2 linked regions of the Drosophila melanogaster genome follow. The protein of the gene in region 2 interacts with the protein of the main gene of each other region in a pairwise test. Each region holds a gene or a part of one and is shown on either strand. Other genes may lie near its edges.

Region 1 (12,734 bases), on a different chromosome or scaffold from region 2:
ATTCTGCACCTTTTCTTGATAAGAAAAATAATTTTACTAGGCGAAAGAGCGTCAATCCGCCATCAATATACAGGGATGCTTTCTCTCGGTCTATCGCCCCGCTGACGGCTATCGATAGTATCGTATGCGATGGGGGAAGGAAGTACCTTATTACGAAAAACTTTATCAAATGTACTTAAATGTTTTTTATTCGAGATTGTTAATAACTCTACTTATCAATTTATTTTTGTTCGCAGATTTAACTTATGAACGAAATGTTAGGTACCAAAGTTGCCGATAAAGTTTTGTTTGACAGTGTCATCTCTAAAAAATTTAAAAACCTTTGTTTACGAAATCTTAACGAAACATAAATATATTTGCGAAAGTATGATAGAGTAGAAATTATTTAAAAGTCTTCTATGTTCTTAATCAAGCGTTACGAAATGTACTTTTAAAACGTCTTTACCGCGCTTTGCAACACTACATACGTGCTATTTCATAATTTTTAATACCATACCTGCAACATTATAGGTTTTAGTTAAATAATTAATAAAGCCCTAAACATGTTAGTGAGAAATATTTGCAAGTTTACGCAAGTTATGGGCAGGTTCCGCGTTGTCGTGAATCCCAGAGATTACTGTCATCTTGCGCCGCTGAAGAGAAGCCGTTATCACCAACGGTCAGAATTCGGATGTCGACCGCTGTGCTCCAATGCTGCGGGCTACGAGGTGTCCTGGGCAGCTCCGCCCGCTTCTGGCTCTTCCGGTGGAATGTTTTGGGCATTTTCCGCTGCTTTCACTCTGAATCTGTTTGGTGGCGCCGACGAAAAAGAGGAAACTCCGGAGGAAAAACTGATCAAGACCATCAAACGATCAATCCTGTGCATTCAGAGGGAACAGTACGACAAGGCCGAGCAAATGCTTCACCTGGCTCTGCGAATGGCGCAGGATATTCAGAGCAAGGACGGCATCACATATGTGTTTGATCTGATGGCCAATTTGGCCATGGAACGCGAGCAGTTTAAGAAGGCGGAGAAGATATTCACGGACGTTATGAAACGGCTTTTTGCCGAGGGTCACACCGAAGAGAGTCCCAAGGTGGGTGACCCACTTAGACACCATAACCAGTTAAGATCTCTTTCATCTTTAGATACTTCACATCAGCTCCAAGATAGCACACATGTCTCAGCTGCAAGGGGATCTGGAAAAGAGCTTTCAAGGGTTCACTTGGACCTTGCAGCAGTTGGCTAAGCTACTGGAGAAAATGCCCGACGACAAGGACATACTGGAGCTGTATGGCTTGACAAAGAATTGGTATTGAAGGTGTTTCCATTGCCGCTAACCAAGCCTTTTTTCAATACTTTTCCTTATGTTTATTTTCCAGGTTCGGGCAGCTGCTGATGAAGCAGGGAAAATACCTGGAGGCTAAAAACCTCTTTAAGGAGGCCTTCGACACGCTCATAAATGTTTATGGTGCCGTTAACGACGCCTCTGTAACCATCCTAAATAACATCAGTGTGGCGTACGTAAACGTAGGTGCGTCTATTCTTCCAAAGTACTTGAAACACATTAGACTAATTACAGCTGGAAAAGTACGCCGAGGCAAGGGAGACCCTTTTGGAGGCCATGGAGCTGACTAAGGAGCTAAAGGATGCCACCCAGGAAGGCATTCTGCAGGCAAATCTGGGTTTGGTGTATCTTCGCGAGGGCCTGATGTCGCAGGCGGAGAACGCTTGCCGACTGGCGTGGAAACTGGGAAAGCAACACCAGAATCCCGATGCCGTAGAGCAGGCCGAGTATTGTCTCAACGAGATAAAGACAACCCTGAATGGAGAGAAGCGCCAGTGAGGATTCTTTTTACAGTGTAATTTTGACTATTTATAAAAATTTCATTTCGAAGTGAAGCACAAATTTGGAAGGCTTAAAAAATCTTAAATAACGCCGCATTGTTTATATTGGGAACTAATAGCGGTTACTGACTGTTGAAATATAAGAAATTTAAGTAGTTGCTCATCGTTTTGAGTAGGTAACGAACAGAAATCTTTCAAATTGTTTGCGGCACACTTTCAGTACATGCAATTAGATCTTTTTTGTGTTAACTTTCCACAATTTTGATATTACTCGAACTTGGCGATAACGATCATTAGGGCTACGCCGGTTAGCAGCGCAAAGATTTCCTTCAGCGACTGTTTCAGTTTCGTAGACTCCTCAAGCAGCTCCGGCAGGACACTCACTGTTGCGATGTAAATAAAACCGCCGGCTGTGAAGGGCAAGACCCATGGGGCCGATCCGTCCCCGCCTCCAGCTCCCAGAAGAGCTAGCGCTGTGCCCGCCAAAGCTCCGAGCGCTGTGACGAGCTGCAGAAGCATTGCCTTTCGCCTGGAACAGCCAGACTTTATAAGAATGGCAAAGTCACCAATCTCATGGGGCACTTCGTGCAGCAGAATAGTGATAGTGGTCACAATGCCAATGCTGTTGCCCGCCAAATAGGAGGCGCCGATGGCCAGGCCATCGGTGAAGTTGTGAGCAAAGTCCGCCGCCAAATTCAAGTAGCCGGAAATCTCCACTTCGCCTTCTGGCTCCGCTTCTGGTTTCTTGGACTTGATCTTGGCTGGCTTTGCCGGTTTGTCTCCATCTCCGCTGTCTTCTTTGTCAGAGGACTTTTTCTTAGCAGGCACTGGTTTTGGCTTTGGTGCTCCATGGCTGTGGCCGTGTCCTCCATGACCGCCCTTTAGAATGCGTACCAGTTTCTCCACTGAAAGGAAGGCAATGATTCCTCCAAGGACCCACAGACCAATGCTCATATCGTGGCTGTGACCATGTTCATGCTCCTCGCCATCATGATGATGATGGTGATCATGGCCGTGATCGTGGCCGTGTTCTCCATGACTGTGTGGATGCGTGGCATGAGGAATCAAGTGCAGAAAGGCATCACCCAACAAACCGCCAGAAGCAAAGGCCAGAAGCACTTTGAGACGCGGCTTCATCGCCTCACTGTTGTCTAGGGGAATGATATACAGCAGCACGAAGGGAGCGGCACTGATAAGAAGAGTTGAGCCGATCGAGTGCAACCAAATGGTGCTCATATCTATAAGAAATTTGGGTCAACTCGGGCATTTTAAGAGTGGTAGTTCGTTGATTACCCAAATCCGGCTTTGCCTTGGTGTGCCTTTCATCGTGCCCGTGATGATGGTGTCCGTGGTCGTGGTCATGATCATGATCGTGCCCGTGATGATGGTGTCCATGATCATGCCCGTGGTCGTGGTCATGATCATGATCGTGCCCGTGGTGGTGGTGTCCATGATCGTGGTCATGATCATGATGATGATGGTGCTCCGCCCGTGGAGCCTTCTGCGGATCGAAGTTTTCGTTGGCTTCCCGCGAGTATTTGAAACTGGGATTGCCCTGGCCGGCGCACAACGCCGGGAGCGAGAAAAGCACTGCTCCCAGGATTACGACCAGTGCCAGCTTTTGGTACAACTGGAGCTTACTGCACTGGTAATCAGCCACTTGTTTGGCCATTTTGTCCTTTACTTTAGTTTCGCGTCGGACTGCGGCCAAAGTGTTGTGACGTGTTTGCTTTTTTTCTGGCTACGTTGTTATCGATTAGCGTGTAAATCTGGAGGTATCGATTGTTTCGCTCAAATAAAAAATAAACTTGTGTATATTTTCAATTATAAGTTGTACTTTGCCGCTTTTGCTTACATTAACTTTTAAACGGAGCTTAAGATCCGACAGCTTGCCAAGTCAATGCTTACAAAAATGCAAAACATTTAAAATTTATGCAGCGTACTGAAAGAAAATAACTTGTTCACACTTTGCCGTTACAACATTTCAGTTTTAAAATCTTTCTAAACTTATTATATATTCAATTTTAAACTAAACCTTTTAAATACCAATACAATTAAAAGTCACCCCAGCATATTCAGAAATAAAGTATCTTTATTTTCTGTAGGCTAACCACCGACATCGATTGAAATTCACTCAATTAAATAATTTTATATTTGTATATTTGCATTTAAATGACTATTAAATATTTGTATGCTTTAGTTAGTTTCCTATGTATTTATCGTTACCAGACATGGTTAAACGGGGCTAATAACTAGACACGAGAAGGTGCACATTAATTTGTTGCGTGTTGCGACGATGCCGATGATGAACCGATTAAAAAAGAACTCGTAAATTTCGTTTGTGATCAATAAATAATAATTTCGATTTGCACATGACACGGCAATGTGAGTGTGTGTTTGTTTTGTGTATGTATATATACAAGCCACTTTGGTTGCTGTTTGAATTGCTGCTGATCCTGCCGCCTTTGCTTTTCTTTCGTTTCCGTTACCGCCGTTCAGTACAGGTTGATCTTCTTGAGTATTGTCTTGCGACACATGTGGCATGTGCGGAGCGTTTCGGCACAATGGGAGCACGCGCCGTGCCCGCACAGGAAGGCCACATCCCTTTTTCGCTCCATGCAAATACCGCAGAAGTGCGACTCCTCAAACTCCAGCACTTTGTTCTCCAGATAGCGAAGTAGATCCCCGGACGGTAGGCGAGTGGGGTCACTAGGTGACGACGTGGACGTGGGCAGGGCCACCACTCGGCCGCTGACCGTCAATCGCCGCTCGATCGCCACGGCACAGCGGAGACACTTTTTCATTCGGATGCCGCACTCCTCGCAGGCGATCTGATGCTGACACGGCTCAAAGCGCACCATCGGCAGGATCTCATTGCACACAATGCACTCATGGGGACCGGGGACGATCACCGGACTGGTACTGGGTCCCGCCGCTCCGGCTTCCAACGCGGTACTGCTCGAGCTAGTGGTAACCGGAGGCTTGGGCGCCTTCTTGCGCGGTGCCACCTGTGGAGAGACGTTTTGCGGTGTTGCGTCGGAGTTCAGTTTCTTTACGCCCGGCGAGGCGGAGGGCGTGGATGGAGATGCTCCAACTCCAATGGCTGGGATATCGTTTGGCTTTGGCATTAGTTCAAATGTCTGGCGCTGCGGTGGTGGGGGTGCTGCAACGCTTCCAGGTCCGGCTCCATTGGATTCAGCTCCAGCAGACGCAGAGCTCTCCTCACCGTCGGCTGATCCTGCGGACACTTCCAAAGCTTGAAGATTCCTAGGCAGCGATTCAGCTTCGCCCTGCTGCCCAAAAATCAGTTGCCTGATGTGGCGGTCCGTTATCCACTCAAAAATGCTTGCATTGGCGTTGTTCAGCTCCACTCGGCAGCCGGCCCTCGAAAGATAGATCAATATACTGTACATCAAACGATCCTCAGGACGAATGCTCGAGTGTACTAGACTCAGGTAAAACTTGTGAATCTCAGGAGCCTCCTCTGGCTGAGGCTCCGCGGCCGACTGCAGATTGGACTTCTTAATGACGCACAAGTGCATCGCATTGTCGCCATCCTCATCCTTGGCATTCACGTCGCAGGAGAGGCGAACGAGTCGCTCGATTACCCCGGCATGGCCCTGGGAGACGGCCAGTAGGAACGGCGTCTGTTGGCGATTATTGCGTATATCTAACTCCGCTTGGCCCTCAGTGACCAGCGTTTCCACAACCTGGGCATGACCGTTAAGGGCTGCCAAATGAAGAGCCGCAAAGCCATCGTCTTTGCGCACATTGACCAGCTGGCGGGAGAGCAACAGGATACGGCGAGCAGCTACCACGTTTCCTTTAAGCGCTGCATGGTGTAGCACGTTAAAGCCGCGATTATTCTTAACCGTAAAGTCCAGATTCGGAGCATTACAAAGCAACTCCACAACTTCCGTATTCTCTTTGCCGATTGCGTCGTGAAGCGCCGTATCCCCGTACGAATCCTGAATGTTTACGTTGGCATTGTGCTGCAGCAACTCACGCACACAGTGCGGCGTTTTCTTGTGCGCGCAGATGTGCAGTGCAGAGCAGTGGCTCGAGTTTAGGAAGTTCACCTCAGCACCGTGCTGCAGCAGCACTCTCATGGTGGCCGGCTGATTGCCGAAGGCTGCGTAGTGCAGAGCTGAATCACCTTCCTTGTCGACCGCATTCACGTTGGCACCCTTGGAGATGAGGTAGCTGACAAGATCGACGTAGCCCTGATGAGAGGCCACCTGAATACAAGCCTTGCCGCCACTCATCACATCCACCTGGCTGGGATTCACGTCCAGGTACTGCCGCACGAAATCCAAATGGCCCTGGGCAGCCTCGCGCACCAGCTTGTCGGCAACCGAACTACCGGAGAGGCCAGAGAGCGGTGTCATTACATGGTCAGCGCGTCGGTGGCTTAGGTCCATCATACTGTTAGAGCGCTCAGCTGCTGTTGCCAAAGGAGAACGCTCTAGTTTGACACATTTCGGATTCAGGGTCCACTCGAAGCCGTCGTCCAACTGCTGGATGCGGAGGTCACCGTCCGAGTACACCTTCACTACCTTGCAAATTTTTCCAAGGGCCTGAAAAACATTTTTTTTAAAGAATACTCTCAAAAAAGATTTAACATAATCTGAATACTCACGTGTCGCATGATTTCTATCCATTCGCCGTGACCCTTCTGCAGCTGCTGCACTTTGTTGGCATCGTTGATGATGGTGACCAGGTCACCGACACGAAAAGAGACAACCTTAACGAGTGCGGCGGGATGAAAGGTCCATCGATTGGGACAGTTTTCATACTGAACACTGTTTGGGTTTCGACTGTGTTAGAAATCCAAATAAAATCAACCAAATTATATATTCTCACCGTATATCCCCCTTGTCCGTGATGCGGTGTACTGTGCCCAGTTTGGACAAATGCTCGACCATGCGCGGATTCCATCCGCCATGGCCCTGCTGCAATTTCATTAGGGCGTCAACCTCTAGGCAAACCTTGACGCGGTCGCCCACGGAAAAGCTTGGCTTCACCATGGGCGCCACCGGCTGCAACTCCTCTGTCTGACCTAGAACAGGCATGTGGTCCTTATAGTAGTGACCACCGCACGTGGCAGTAATGTACTTGAGGTCAACGTTTCCCTTGTGACCTAGACGGTAGACGTTCGTCGATCCGGTTACCCACGCTACGTTGGCCACGCTGCGACACGATTCGTTGTCCCAGCCTCGGATTTCCATTACCCGACCCGTCCTGCCTTCTCCGCCGTCCTGTTCGTTCCACTCCCAGTCAGGACCGCGCACTACTTTGGAACCCACAAAGATGCCTCGCAGCTGGATGCGCTTGGCACCTTTTCTCATGGGCAATCTCACGCCCAGCGAGTTGGGAGTCGTGTAGCGGATAAACGGGTGCTCAATATCGTGCAGATCCTCTGCGTAGCAATAGGCGCATAGGTGATAGTTGGGACACTGGGCGCACTTGAATACTATGCCAGCGATACCCGCCTTGGAACAGCCATCGCAGACAACATTTGAGTGACGAACTCCTGCGAAAAAAGAATTCGAATATAAGACCTTATAAACAATGAACTATAAATAATTGTAATTTGGAAAATTAAAATTAACTAATTGAATAGATTTCTTAAATATCGTCACTTACCAACTTGAGCATTATCTACAATTATCAAGTCGTACTGGTTTTGGTAGCCCACACGGTAGTTGGTCCGGTGTCCGGAATCCCAGTTGACCACGACAGTGTTTTCTGGCGAATGTGTCGATCCGCAACGTCCGATTTCGCAAACGGTTCCAACGTGACCTTCTCCGTCGTCTGTTGCGTAAGCAATGAAACAAAGTCGAGAGTGACGTGATGTGAGTTGGAGAAGCTATAGAGCTATAGAGCTGCCACAAGGATGCTCCTAGGGCTGCATTGTGTGTACATCGGCATCACCATCCCCACATCCACATCCGGTGGATATCAGACATATGCAGAGCGCACACTTCCCCCTCATAAACAACGCGCCGTGACTATAAATACCCATAATCATTGACTCGGGCTCGGGCTCCAAGCGGATTTTTGTTATGCACTCGGACTCGGGCGTGCAGCTGCTCTATAATTACCCCGTATCACGGGTGTGGATGTGGAATCGTTCTCTAGAGGGTGACATTTGATGTTGGCCTGGGGAGGAATGGGAGCACCGATGGCTGGGCTCCCATCTGAAAATTTGTTTATGTCTATTTTCAACACACCCCAGTCGGAGGAATACCAAGGTCCAAAAATAAACTCTCCACATCGTCCCCAAATATCAGGCCGGCTGGAGCTGTGTAACTGCTCGCGATCCCCACCCGTGTAACTAAAAATAAACACTCAAAAAAAGGTTGGAGACAAAATGGCACGCGCCCTAGCGCCTGACATGTGCATATGCATTCGCTGCACAGGCTGGAATAGGGCGACTTGGGGAGGGGGGAACACATACCATGACCTAATCCTAAACGTGTGCAGCTGCTTTAATAGGATCCTTCAATAGGCTTAAACATTACTGCGTTTATTATCAAATTAGGCTTTGGTGATTGGTTTAACTTCCACAAAATGATTCAAATTGTTTTTGAAGTGTATCTGAAGAAATGTTCTCTCTTGGTAATATTCATTTGCAACTATCAAAATGTAATTGAAAATTATAGTGTTCTACATTCCTTTCATTTTTGAGGTTTTGAGTTCTAATCTCTTTTCATGGCACATATAATACAGTCGGTTTATCAAGCTTTCGAAACGATATAAGCCTCATCATCTAATTGTTTGTAATACGTTACGAATTTGTTCCAGCGAAAGACAATTAATTCAATTAAAAACTACGCAATATTATTGTTTGGCGGGCAGCTGCCTACGGACGTATGTATGTGCATATGTATTTACCTGCCACGTAGGGTGGCGTACTATATATGTACGTACCATCGAGAGCCACACATCCCCGCCATATATATGTACATATGTATGTATATGAACCATAAAACGAAGCGACGAAAGCAGAAGCAATTGGTAAGCGCAAGAATTTCACTGCTGCCGCAGTGAGTGTTGCTAAAAATAGCGGGCGCGTCCTCTTTACATTCAACAACGCCCCGAGCAGCAGCAGCGGACACGGACGTACACCTCTCCGTCCCATCCCGTCCCATTGCCCCACACCCCTCCGCACTCGCACACTCTCAACGGACCCTCTACGGGTGCCAATGCCAAGTGAGTTGCGTTTGGCGTATACAGTAAGTATTGGCCACGAAGTGATTCCCTTTATGCCATATATTCATTATTTATCATGTCTTTTCTACATACATATTATAACAAAAATTAAAGTATCAGTAGATTAAATTTGATCAAATATTGATCGATCGTAAGAGGTATAAAAATGTTTATTTAAGATATTGCTTATTATTATTACGCTATCAAATCCAAAATATGCGGATAAAATCAGCTTAATAAATTATAAACATGATTTTTTTTAAGGACAGATATTGGAGTTTAAACAGAAGTAATAATCCCATTGTAAAGCCCTTTTAATCGGAGAACGTATGACTAAGTATGGGTTTTACCGAAATTGAATGCCTAAGTTGGCGACATCCCCACCGCCTAATCTCTACCGTACGCAAATTTCGATCTGAACTATATAACAAAAACACCCGTATCTATAAACAGAGAGCGGATGGCAAGTTAATTCGCCTCTTTGGAGGTGGGTGAAAGTAAACAAGCTGGCCCGTGGCTGCCTGAATGCGTTCTTACCTTGATTCGACCAGATCCAGTTGGGTCCGCGCACCACTCGAATGCCGGGCGGAATGGAGGCTCGCATGGCGTTTGGTTGGCTCAATTTGTGTAATCCGATTCAGCCTGCAAGGAGGATAGCATAAATGTGACATTTGACAATACTCGGGGCACGGCGTTTGATGGGACCTGGCTGATAATTGGGTCAACTAAATGGCGGCCCCGTCAGCGCATGACTCAAAAGGAGAGGAGCATATCGGGGTCATCTCAGAAGTCTTTGTAGGCTCAAGCATGGAAGGGTCTCTATGAGCATGTTTTAAAACATTGCAGTGGCTTAATTCTAAGCAAGAAATTGTACTCTTCACAAAATACTTAAGCAGAATTAAAATTTTCTAGAGATTTCTGTATTAAAACTCTTGAGATTTCTTTGTTAACCCTTCGCATCATTTATGGGGTGTCGGGGGAGGAAATGCCATTCAAATGCCAGATATGTTTCCCGATCGCCAGCGCTTCGGTTTCTGGCAGTCCGAGGTTTTGTGGTGTGGGTGCAGCCCAGAAGCTCGCATGACGCATGCCGATAAGACGGATATATGTATATATGCACCGTCTGAACCTCCGATTTCAATTTCGATACGGATTTCTCATCGTCCCGCTGACAAAAGCCAAGTGCCTGTGACTTCTTGGTCAAGCAGCGAAGTCATTCAAGGAATCGACCCGCATGTGTTGTTTACGAAAGTCCAAGCACACACTCACACTCACGCCCGTTTTGCCATCGCACACATATATATACGTATGTGTATATATTTTACAAATATATACTTATGCAAAATTGAGTATGTGAAAAGCGATTATTGGGGGCTTGGTTTGGATTTTTTTTTGGGCTTACCAATGCAATTTGTGATACTGTCGCTTAGCTCCAGCTGTTCGCAATGAAAAACTTAAAGTTCTCAAGCCTTTAATGGTGCATTTTATACGCGCGTGCGCTTTTTAATGGGCATTTAGTGTTTCCTTTCGCTAAAATGCAGTGACACCGTTGCTCTGGTTGCCAAAAAGGGCATAGTTCACTCGCACGCGATCTAATTTCCGCACTATTTAACACACAGATACCGCACTTATGGTCAATTTCGCCTGGACATTACAATTTTTTAGTTAAATGGCCAAAATTCACTATTTCGCTAGAACTATTAAATAAAACTACAATTTAGTGTGCTTCTTCTTTCTATCTAGAGACGGCCGTGCAATATGACATCTATTCGATAGTGATCGATAACACCTAGGGAAAACGATGACTGGAGGAGATATACCAGCTATAAAGAACACATGTTATTATTTTATTTTTGGCAGTCCATAAATTTACATAGTTGTCAATCGCGGAGTGATTACTTATTTGTATTCATGTTCGGTAGCGTGTGATGAAAAGAGCGGCCGAAATGGACGAATTGACGTATCAGACAGCTGTAAAAAAGGGTACGCTTCTATGATATAACTACTGAGAGGTAAACAAATAAATATTGTATTTTTTAGCCCAACTGGTTGAGAGGAATCCCCAGTTGCAGATAAACCCCATGCGTGTGTCCATGCACCAGGAGGAGGATATCATCGAATTGGCCCAACAAATTCAGAATGCTGATAAACAATTGAAAAACACAACTTGCCAAAAGCTGGGGGTCATAATGGAGCAGGTAAGCTATACTCCTCTTTAACAATTATAATACAAACTAATAAATCTTTCATAGATCAAAATGCTTCAGGCCCAAGCGATGGAGATACTTAAGGAGTCCACTCTCAACCGAGATCTGCACAGTGCGGCCTGCAATTTCACCAAAAAACCCGGACACATCTATCATCTTTATCAAAGGCCATCGGGTCAAAACTATTTCAGCATGCTATCACCGGAAGTACGTTTTGTTTGAAAATAATTCTAAAATCGCATTATTAATGGATGTACACTTTCAGGAATGGAGTCTCTCCGTTGACCAAACATTCAAAGGCAGCTACAGGTTGGAGTACGATTTGAGCTGGACCCCACTGGACAAGATTAAGGAGCAGGATGAGAAGCTAAAGTGGGCGGAGCAGTGCATGCTAAAGGCACTAGATGGTGGGCGTGGTTCGGCCATGGCAATTGACTTTAATATAAGCAATGATTGACAGAATATATTAAAAATTATTTTTATTAACATGAGGTTGTACCCAAACTTCGATGTTACTGATATTAAAATTATAAAAGCTCTAGGGTAAAATGTATTAATTTTAATTTAAATATTAACATTTATATTTTTATAAACATACATATTTAATTCCTGTTTAATTTTGTAAACATGATAAATAATAAATAACGATATTTTCTATCGATAGAGAAAGTGCATCTCAATGGCTTTCGATAGCTGTCGTGCAGTTCGATGTATGTTTTGGTTTTTAGTGCAACAGCTGAGAGCTCTTTTTTTGTGAAATTGTGCATATTTTTAGTTTGTTTTGTTTCGTTTAGCGTTTCGTTCACACCTGCAACATGTCCGCGCCCAAGAACGAGATGTACTATAGCTTGCTGGAGTGGTTCAAGACCCTCAATCTAAATGCCCCGCATGCGGATGCGGAATCCTTAGCTGACGGAGTGGCACTGGCTCAGGTAACTATATATACATATATAGTTCATCAATATTTAATAGCTCCTTTATTCACAGGCTCTTAACCAGTTCGCCCCCGAATCCTTCACCGACGCTTGGCTTTCCAAGATCAAGGCCAGTGCCGTGGGCAGCAACTGGCGATTGCGGATGAGCAATCTTAAAAAGGTGACCCAGTCCGTGTACGACTACTACAGCGACGTACTGAACTACTCGCTGAGTGATTTCTCGAAGCCTGATCTGCAGAGGATCGCTGAGAAGTGCGACTTGGGAGAGCTGGAGCGTCTGCTGCAGTTGGTCCTTGGTTGCGCCGTGAACTGTGCAGAGAAGCAGTCCTACATCACAGAGATCATGTGTCTGGAGGAGGAACTGCAAGCAAACATTATGCGCGCCCTTCAGGAACTTGAGGCCACTAGGCAAGCATCCACGCCGGAGGGCGGTGTAGCCAGTTCCTTGTCCCGTGGCTCTCGCACAGGACTCCTGGACAGCAAGGCAGTTCAGGAGGATCGCGACGCCCTGGCACAAAAATGCTTCGAGACGGAAAAGAAAATGCTCCT
Region 2 (9,721 bases):
TACATTTTTTTTATGATTATATGATATGATTTATTTTTACATTATTTAATATTTTTAATAAAAACGTACAAAGATATTTTTAAAATTATAATTACCATTGCTCTTTATCGCTTAAATCCAAAGGTCAGTCATTTATTGCTATTTGTTAAAATTATTTAAAACGAAATCAATTAAATTTTGGGAAATCCAAGACTATGCAATGTTCAACTTATTGAAGTTGGACCGTACTTGCGGAATGACCTTTCGGGTTCAGCTTGCGAGAGACTTGAAATGGCTGCTGAGCGACCGTCTTAATGGCAGCTCCGAATGTTGCTAATGTTAATTTAAGAAAATATTCCGACCCGGCCATCTGCGAGTGGATGTGTGTCTGTGTGTGTGTGTGCGTGTGTTGCCTGGAAACACTTGCGGTGCGGCAGCATTTGTGCATTATTATTTGCGGTCAAGTCTTTTGTGGCTTGGCCTTTTAGAATATCCAAACCCCTTTGAAGCCGCAGCAAATGGCAGTGCCAGCAGCGGACTAATTAAAGAAATATTCATTTCAAAATACTTGTAGCTCCGCCGGAAATTGCACACCCTCACACACATTGACACACCGCTTTGGCTTCTCAATATGTGTGTATATGCGTTAGTGTGTGTGTGGTTGTGTGACGTGCATGAGGCAATCAATTACGGCGAACCGTTTTGCCAAAAAAAGCGTGTTGCCTACTTTCCGGCGCCCGCGTGTTTGCCAACACAGCAGCACAATTAATTATGTACATTGGGGCCGCTTTTTCCCTTTTTCCCACCATCACTCCCACCATTTTCTCGCCCCTTTCCTTGCTGTTTGCCCAAGTCTGTGTTTGTGCACACAGAGGGAAAATAATTGGCCATATTATATTGTAATTGAGTCAGCCTTTATAGCAACAAAACATATATTAAATTTAAGTATGAAGGTTTAATTGCGATAATTGTTACTCATAAATAACTGCATACAATTGATTCAGTTATCTAAAATTTATTGGTGACATTGAATGGGGGAAATATTTTGCCAACCATGTACACTTATTTATGAAGGAAATCATAAAACTAAAAAAAAAAAGTACTACAGCTATTTTAAAATAAAAAAAAACAACATTTTTTTGTCCCTTAGATTTTTCAAATCATAAGTTATTAAAACTGTGGAAATATAAGATCGATTGGTATTAAATTTCTTGCACTGCACGACAAAATATCGCGGAGGATGAGAGTCATCCTTGAGCTTAGACGACAGCATATGCTCATGCATGCCTAATTACGATAAATCCTTGCCCTTGCCCGTTCTCACTTACCAACTTTCACCCCATCCTATGCCTTTCACATTCACTTTCGCTTTCCCTTTCCCGCTCTCACTTTCACTCTCGAGTCTCGAGAACAAGCGCGCCCAAATGAAGTAGGCAGAAACAAGAAGAACAACAGCAGCGCCACTTCACAAGGATCATTCGCGTGTGAGTGTGTGAGTTTGTGTTTGCCAGGACTCTTTGGATGTAAGAGTGTGTGTAGGCGTTCATAATTATGGCCGTATTTAGAGAAATTGGTTATTATGTGCTTAACGCCATTTGTCTGACTGGAAATAGTTTGTTTTCGGGGGCCCCCTGCTGTTGGACATATCTTTGTGGAGGTGTGCTTAGCCAGTTTCTTAATCCGGAACCACTTAGTAATTTTTATCTTTTAGTAACGTGTTGGAAGCAAAATAAATAATGAAATGGCTTTAAATATTCTTGAAAAGCTTAATGCCTAGAATATTTTTAATAGTTAAATTAAATTGTACCCTTAAAGCTTAAGCGTTTAAATATGTGTGTTTAACATTATACAGGAATTTTTCTGAGCGGAAAACGGTTGGAAAAATGTAGCATAAATTTACAGAATGTAAATTTCACACTAATTCAAGCTTAACAATTTGAATCAATTATTATTTCGCGGAAAGCTTTAATGTCAATATGCTTTAGTTTATAGAAAATATGCATCAATTAAAGAAAAATTAAGCAGTTCATAACGAGTTTAAACATATACAAGGGATTTCTCTGAAAGCGAATCCATTGGCAAAAAAGCTTAAATTCCTAGAAAATGGATTTTCCACAAATTAACTCTCCATAATTCAATTGAAATTTTAATCCCCCAGGAATTCAAGCTTAAGAATCAATTTCAATATTGGGTATATTTTTTTGACTCTCCTTTAAATTTATCAATTTAATACAGCTTATTGCAAGGAAAAGAGATAAGCTTGGTAGCTATTTTCTTTGTAAAACAAAATGGATTAGCTTACTTCAAAAGCCCTTGAACTAAGCTTATTTTCAGGGCCATAATCCCTGGCCGATTTCAATTAAACTTTGCTGTAAAATACCAATCAACTAGCAACTTTTGCGACCACCCTCTTAGTAAGTTGGACTTGGCTAATACTTGAAATTGTCTGCTAATTCGTAATTATTGCTACTTTACCATGTTGCTCCTGCGTTGACTGAATTGGCTGCCCTTTCTTGGGCAATTAGGACGAGGCGCTGGCTGGCAATGCCAAGTGTCCCCTGGTCGAGTGGCTTTCACTGGAGGTTCCGGATTCCCAGCATACGTGTCCATCAATAATGCGTCCTGGCTGCTGGCTCCTGGCTCGCATCGCCGCAGCCATGCCTTCCATTCGTCAATTGGCCATCCATCAGTTCTAATTAATCATGGCTCGGGCCTAATGAGTTGCTCTCAAATATGCTGGGAATGAATAGATGCCACTATTTCGGACGCTCCGCTAATGGAAATGGGTCTTAACTCGTGCTATACAATTGTCGCCGTTCCGATAGCCTTGTTGCAGTGTTCACAATGCAATGTCCGCAATACGCAATTTCAATTTCACGAGAACCAGCAACTGCGCACAAATCCAGCGGTGATTCTCATGCACATGGAAAATATACGAATCCTTAGTTAATTCTTGGAAAGCAGTTTGATAAATTAATTACTTTCAAAGGAACATCGTTAATTAATAATTTTCGTTATATCAGCATCGAATAGGAGGGGCACACACTTTAACTTTTTATTAGTGACATCAAAATATTATATTGATGAAGAGATGCTGTTCGAAACCTAATTATGTATGTTATATATATTCAAAAAATACATTTGGTTACCATTTTAGTAACTTTTTCTCAGCGTGTAATAGAGGATATAGCTGTGGCTATGGCGTTGTCAGTGGGACTGACCTAGAGTCCGTCAACAACTTGAGCTGCCTTGGCGAACGTGTTGACATCTTTGTTTTGGCCCGCTCATAATTCGCATTTTTTCGGTTTGTTTTTGTTTTGACTGCGGCTGCGGCTTTGTTTTAGCTCGCTATTTTTTCCGAAAATATATTAACGGCTAACCCGATTCATCAGCCTATTGACAAGATGTCATGTGGGACAAGCAAATGACCGAACAAAAGACCGAATGTCTGGCGAGGATGGCTAAATGCAGACCAATCATACTGCATGTGATGACGGAGAGGAATTTGGTATTTATAGAATAATAAGCGAAAAATAAGTAATATTAAAGAACTAAATGATTTAAGACAACATAGTAACAAATGTTGATCTTCTTAGGCATATTATTAATATATATTACGTAAACAAGTGCTTAGAAACAGAACTTAATAAATTAAGATGAAATAAATATTAATAATTCAATGACAAATCTTAAGCGTATATATTTTATTATGATGTCTAGAGTAAAAAACCTACCTATCTCTAAATCATTTGTCTTTCTGTTAACACTTTTAATTATGCTGAATTCTATAACTACATAAAACTCGCGCGATATTTGCTAAGACATCAATTTCCTTATTCTATATAAGTATCAATATTTCTATAAATATTTAAAAAAATTCGAAAATGAATCATTCTGCCAGATAAATGCGTGGGCGTCGATCTTTTCCTCAGCTTTTCTTTCCGCTGGACTAAAGAAAAGTGAAAATCTCACTCTAATAACTGCGAAATAAGCCAGAACAATAACAGGTAAGAATACGTATTGAACAATATATTGTCGCTCTTGGACTTTCTGCGCGACATTGTAAAAAGCGAGAGGAATTCTTACAGACAATTATGGTACATATATTATATTATATGTATATATGTATATAATTCTTGCACAGGTTCGTTGGGGTCGGGTGAAGCTGGGAAACAACAAAAGTGCTACGTGAAAGTGGGAAGAAGACGCAGAAATATTTGTGGCACTTTTGTTGTTGCCTCAGGTTATATTTATAAAATTTCACCTCAAGAACGGCTGATCATCAAGCGTTCGAGAGTCGAGCAGAGAAAAACATTCATTTTCATTTCTGGCACGCTCGCGAGTGGACGTGCGGACCGATACGCCGATAATAGCTATAGCCCAGTTCGATTCCCAACCACCTATATCCATATATATATATCTATTAAGTGTATATAGAGGGGTGCAAAGATCTACCCAAAGATCTTTCACCTGTCGCGCAGTGCGTGAGGGTGCGTCCAAAAGCACCAGTAATCGCGACGCGAGTGTTGGTTTGAGCCAAGGCGGTAATACATCGTACCTCAGTTTGAAAGTGAAGTCAGTGAAAGTCCTTGTGCCGCCAAGGCATGCGAATAAATTTGCAAAAGTTTCGCGAAGCATCAGGAAATAGAGGAAGCCAACGCAAGTGAGTCGAACGGGGTGGATACGTCCTGATTTTAAGCTCGTTTTTGGAAACGCATTCAAATGGAGATGAGCTCGACGCATTCAATGGCTGCTGATTATGTAAAAAAAAGAAGAGAGAAAACGGCGAAAGGCGTGAGAATCTCGGCGAGAGAAGGAGCTTGGGAAAATGTCACCTGGCTGAAAATTGCGCTTTCTCAACATCCCACCGTGTGCACACTCCCACATTCGTGAAAAGCTGTCAAAATTATTTTCATCTCCTTCGGCTTCGCGTTCAAAATTTATTAACAAATTTTGACATAATCATGTATACAAATATATGTTGATGAGGATCTGTTATACGCTATATTACGTGTGTGTGTGTGTGTGTGTGTGTGTGCATATCTCATCAGAAAGCATGGCAATAATTTGCCCACACTCACACACACAGGCACGCACACAGAGACGCACATTGCTCATACGCCGTGTTGCTGCCTTATTTTTAGTTCGATTCAATCAGCGACATTTTCAGAGATTTTCTATTTCCATTTCTGTTGTTTGTGTTTGTCTTTTGCCCGCTGCTCGCTTATCATTGATTGCTTTGTTTGCTTTTGTTTCGGTTTCGGTTTTGCTTTTGCTTGTTCCTTCTCCCATTCTCGCCATCCATTTGGAATGTTTGTGGTGGGCTTTCTCGTATTTATTTTTATATTCACACCTCTCACACAAAACAATTAATTTCTCGTTTCGAAATATAAAAATAAAAATAATACGGAAGATTAAGTGAGAGAGGCGTGTGCGGTTTAAATTTATGTGCCGCCGGAAAGTAGGCAACAGTTTTTTCCAGTTTTCCTTTTAGCTTTATTGCGAGCACTCGCCTCTTTTCAATTCACTTCATCTGCCCTCCAACCCCATCCCTCCTCCGCTCTTTTCGAGTGTGCTTCAGCTGGGCGGAAGTTCAAGGTCGCTGGCAGCATTAAAGAAGTGCCATTGCAGCACGCTGGCAATAGATATCCACCTAAACTAGTTTTGATTCGAATTTACTGGCCACTTTTGCAACTTAAATTAAAAACTGCTCGAAAGTAGCGCGTTGGCAACTTTAAAGTAAATGTATTGCTTATGATTTCTTAGTGTTGTCTCATTTTCTTTATCCATTCATTTAAAGGTATTTTAAAAACTACATAAAGTTGTACACCTTTTTGTTGAAAAGTTTTTGTTTCAACAGACAAATAGCATTTATATTACCAAAATCTAATATGGAAAAATATTCCAAATGTTTCCGAGCTATTGAAGTTTTTAAGTCACTTGTTTTAAGTCAACTTGTTGGTTGCTGAAATCTGTATTATGTTTAAATATTGCTATATTCAAAAGCTTAGTGATTGCAAATAAAACCAATCTGCAATAATACTAAAAACGAAATCATCATAAAATGTATGAATTGATGTATAATTTTTCATGCCACATTTTACTGTATCATTTTAGTAACGCAATGAAGCTCCGAATTGTGCTCATTAAAGAAAATTAATTATAAGGGATATCAATGCAATTGTGTGAACAATTAATTTCTATTAAATTCCCTTTACGCGTTCGATGCTCAAAAGACCGCCGATGTAATCATGTTATTATAGTTTCGGAAATTGGTTTTCCATTGTTTAATTGTTTCCTTTGGTCGAAAGGAACTCGGCCACGGCAAGTTAATTAAAAAGATCTACCTTCGCAGCCATATGCTCGACCCCAGCTGATTATTCATTAACCTGGTCAAGAGTGTGTGGCCCACCGAGGAGCTTATCTGTCGCAGTGCACAATAAGCGAACCTTAAGCGCATTCCGAACTTCATTATCTTCGACTGTCAACCGCGCCCAATCGAATCCCATTCAATACTATCCAATCCCATCCAATCCCATGCCATCCAATGAATTCCAACTTTCACCACCCGCCTTCATCATTGTTTTGCGTGCCGCAGCCTTTGAGGCCGTATAATTAAGTTGGCATGATGCGGCTTATGCGCAGCGTGTTAATGGCCAGGTAAATGGCTACTCGACCCTCACTCCCCACAATTCACTCACAATTGCCTTTGGCTCTAAATTTAATATATTTTCTTTTTAATTTCAGCCAGCAGAGTTAACAGCCAAAGGAACAGGCCCCTTTCAAGGGCGCCTCGGATACCCAAGTAGACAATAAGAAGAAAACAACACTTGGAAACGTAAGTTATCACCGCTGAAATTGGAACGTCACAATACTTTGTAGTTTCTATAGTATTCCTTTGGGAGTGCAGCTAAAATTTCAAAAAGTTTCGATTGCATCTGCTTCTCCCGTCTGCTCCGTTTATTTATAGCCCAAAAATACAGTGCAGTTTTCATTTCTTTATTTGTTTTTCTTTTTGGCCTAGGAGTGCAGACTGCAGTCTGTGAATTCCGGGCTAGTGAGTTCTATTTTCGGCATATTCCCATAGGGAGATAGAATGATATATACAGAGCTAGAGGAGCGAAGTTCTGACCTTGAGAAGCATGCACAGAAAAAAAAACTGCGAAACTGGATAGAATTATTTTGGTAAAAGTAACAAATGTTTGTGTAGGGAACTTAACCTACTTACTTACCGAATGCAATTATATGTAGTTAATAGATACAGATAGATATTTTGAACATGTTTGAGAAAAAGCTTAATTGTAACTTTTAGGGACAACTTTTTGAATGGAATATGAAATTTTAGTTCGTATTGCAGCAAACTAATGGTTTACTGCTACTTAAGTTAAGGGAAAACTTCTAATGGAAGTAGAAACTTTTCACTTGGCACAGAGAAATGTTCCACTAGTTTGACGGAACAGCGAATTCGAGCGATGTTCGCTCCAATTTTCAATGAAATTTATTTTTAGGGCCCGTTACAGCGAGATACACAAAAGCACACAAATAGCCCAGCAATGAGATATAGATGGAAAATGCCGGCGTGCGTCCGAATGAGAAAATCAGCTCAGTTGATGACGTCAAGAGTGTGCGTGCATGTATTCGTACTAAATGGAGGAAAATCTTTTCGGTTAATCCAATAAGTAGCCGATGTCCAGGTTCGAGGCGAGAAATGGGAACTCCATTTGGAAGTAACATGCAGTGCGAAGTACTCATTTGTATCTTTGTATCTTATTAATGGCGCTGCAGCCAAACTGTAGATAAAGATACATACGCACGATGCCAAGAATATATTTTTGCGTTTGTGTCTGACGATCGCGCATTTTGTTTTGTTTCGCTCTCTGGCGATATATAGACGGTATATATCTGCAGATACACAGCGAAATCGGGAGAGAATGCCGCGGATTGTATATATATTTAAAATATTGTAGACTGTTGCTCAGCTCGTGTGCTTGGCAATTTTCACTTGCCATCAGTCGCTTTTTACATTTCCAATCGAATTCTACTAGGCGTGTTGCCCAGCAAAAACTGAAAAAAAATATAAGAAAAAAATCTAAACGACACCGTACCGAATTAGATATATTGAAATTAAAGTAAGGCGAACGGAAATCGATTGTACTCATTAAATGAAAGTGCCCAAAAACGAGTTGAAAAGGACTGAATTATAAGGATTCTCGCATTGCCAAAACCAATTGCATTTTATGATTGCCTTCGAGTGCCGCTTTGACAGCAACAGCAAGGATTGCCAAATAGTTTCCCATTTCAATTGGTAAGTTGGTGAGGTTTCTATGTATTTCAATTTTTTTTTTTTTTGGTTGGTGATTTCTGCTCAGTTTTGGCTGACCCAAATTTCATCGAATTCATTTCAATTTAGTTGTGTTGATTTCAATTTTCAGTGCTTTGCGTTGATGATTTTCTGTCACCAACTGTCAGCAGCGCGAAAAGTTTGACCCATTTTAGTTTTTCACATTTGGCAAAAAACTCTCCCAGGGTCAAGTGATTCGTTTCCGTTTCCCGTTCGCCATTTACTGTTTCCTGCCGCATAACTCGACTTAATTTTAACCCCCGCCAAGGTTAATGATTTTCTCGTGCTCTTTTTTCTGTAAACAAAACATTGAACAACTGTCGCCGTCAATTTGGCGTTTGAATGAAAGCAAAGAGCCGTGGGGAAATTCAAAGGAAACCAGAAAACACAGATTTCAGCTTCAAGAGCATTTAACATTTTCACGGATAATTGGTTTGGTATTTCTGAAAATCGCTCACACAGCCCGCGAATGCATTCACCACTATATATACACATAAATATGTATGCGTATAAGTGTATATATGTATTAACGGACCCAGCTGAATGACCTACCCACCCTTTAAATGAAAATGTAAAACGGGGTGGTTGGATTTTGGTAGTTATGCCGCCTTCTGGTGGCTTTCATTATGCTGGCGAGCAGCGTTCGCTATTCATTTTAATCCTTTCAGCAGCGATTCACAAATGCAATGGCTAAATTAGTTTCGCCACACACACACACACACACACACACAGTGCACTTCGCTCGAAACCAGAAAAAGGACCTACACTTTCTAATAGGACCACCAGTTTTGCCTTTATTTACCACGCACAATTTGCGAGAACGACAGAATTTCTATTCAATTTGATTTTAAGCGCATTTTCCAGTTAATTGCACTTTGTTCGCATATGTCCATAAGCTCATACATATATCCACTTTTTGCGATAGCTTCATTGTGAACTTTTGGCCGCATTAAATGGATGCTTTAAATATCCGAAACCAAACCGAGCCAAACACGACAATAATGGCAAACAGGCGCACGACAATTAGCGGTGGGCATCATGGACATCACGGTACCGATTCCATGGCTATATCCTCATCCGCCCACACTCTCAGTTTATTTACGAGCAGGAAGTGCGCATTGGTGCGCGTTTTTGTGCGCGACACACGCGGCGTATACGCGATGCATATTGCCAGCAACGGCGAAATCGTATTTATATTTATACTATACTTCATATACGCGGCTGCTGCCTGCTTTTCTTCCCTCTTAATACGAAATGTGTGTCATTTTTATTATTAAAATCTCAACTGCGGCCAGCAATGATCCCTTTTCCAAATGTGAGAAAGCTATTGCAGAGTGCTGAAAAAATGTTGCAAGTAGCTTATGAAATTGTGCAATGGAAGCTGATTTAAATATATGATTT

The links.
Region 1: the proteins of tn (region 2) and mib2 interact in a two-hybrid assay, tested with the Drosophila melanogaster proteins (one study listed by BioGRID).

What each region holds. Positions count from the first base shown.
Region 1 is NT_033779.5:19,032,712-19,045,445, reverse strand, and holds mib2 (mind bomb 2), read right to left. Parts: upstream 10,990-12,734; 5' UTR 10,446-10,989; intron 9,947-10,445; exon of another isoform or gene 9,749-9,946; intron 9,686-9,748; 5' UTR 9,648-9,685; coding exon 9,581-9,647; intron 7,643-9,580; coding exon 7,475-7,642; intron 7,362-7,474; coding exon 6,692-7,361; intron 6,631-6,691; coding exon 6,468-6,630; intron 6,406-6,467; coding exon 4,324-6,405; 3' UTR 3,905-4,323; downstream 1-3,904. Other genes in the region: Ttc19 (tetratricopeptide repeat domain 19), read left to right, coding at 543-1,076, 1,129-1,292, 1,363-1,510, 1,563-1,826; Catsup (catecholamines up), read right to left, coding at 2,096-3,066, 3,122-3,500; CG31800 (uncharacterized protein), read left to right, coding at 10,990-11,026, 11,084-11,241, 11,296-11,457, 11,516-11,707; hook, read left to right, coding at 12,066-12,182, 12,238-12,734.
Region 2 is NT_033778.4:18,983,050-18,992,770, forward strand, and holds the start of tn (thin), read left to right. Parts: upstream 1-4,294; 5' UTR 4,295-4,642; intron 4,643-6,334; exon of another isoform or gene 6,335-6,639; intron 6,640-6,726; 5' UTR 6,727-6,817; intron 6,818-7,987; exon of another isoform or gene 7,988-8,284; intron 8,285-9,721.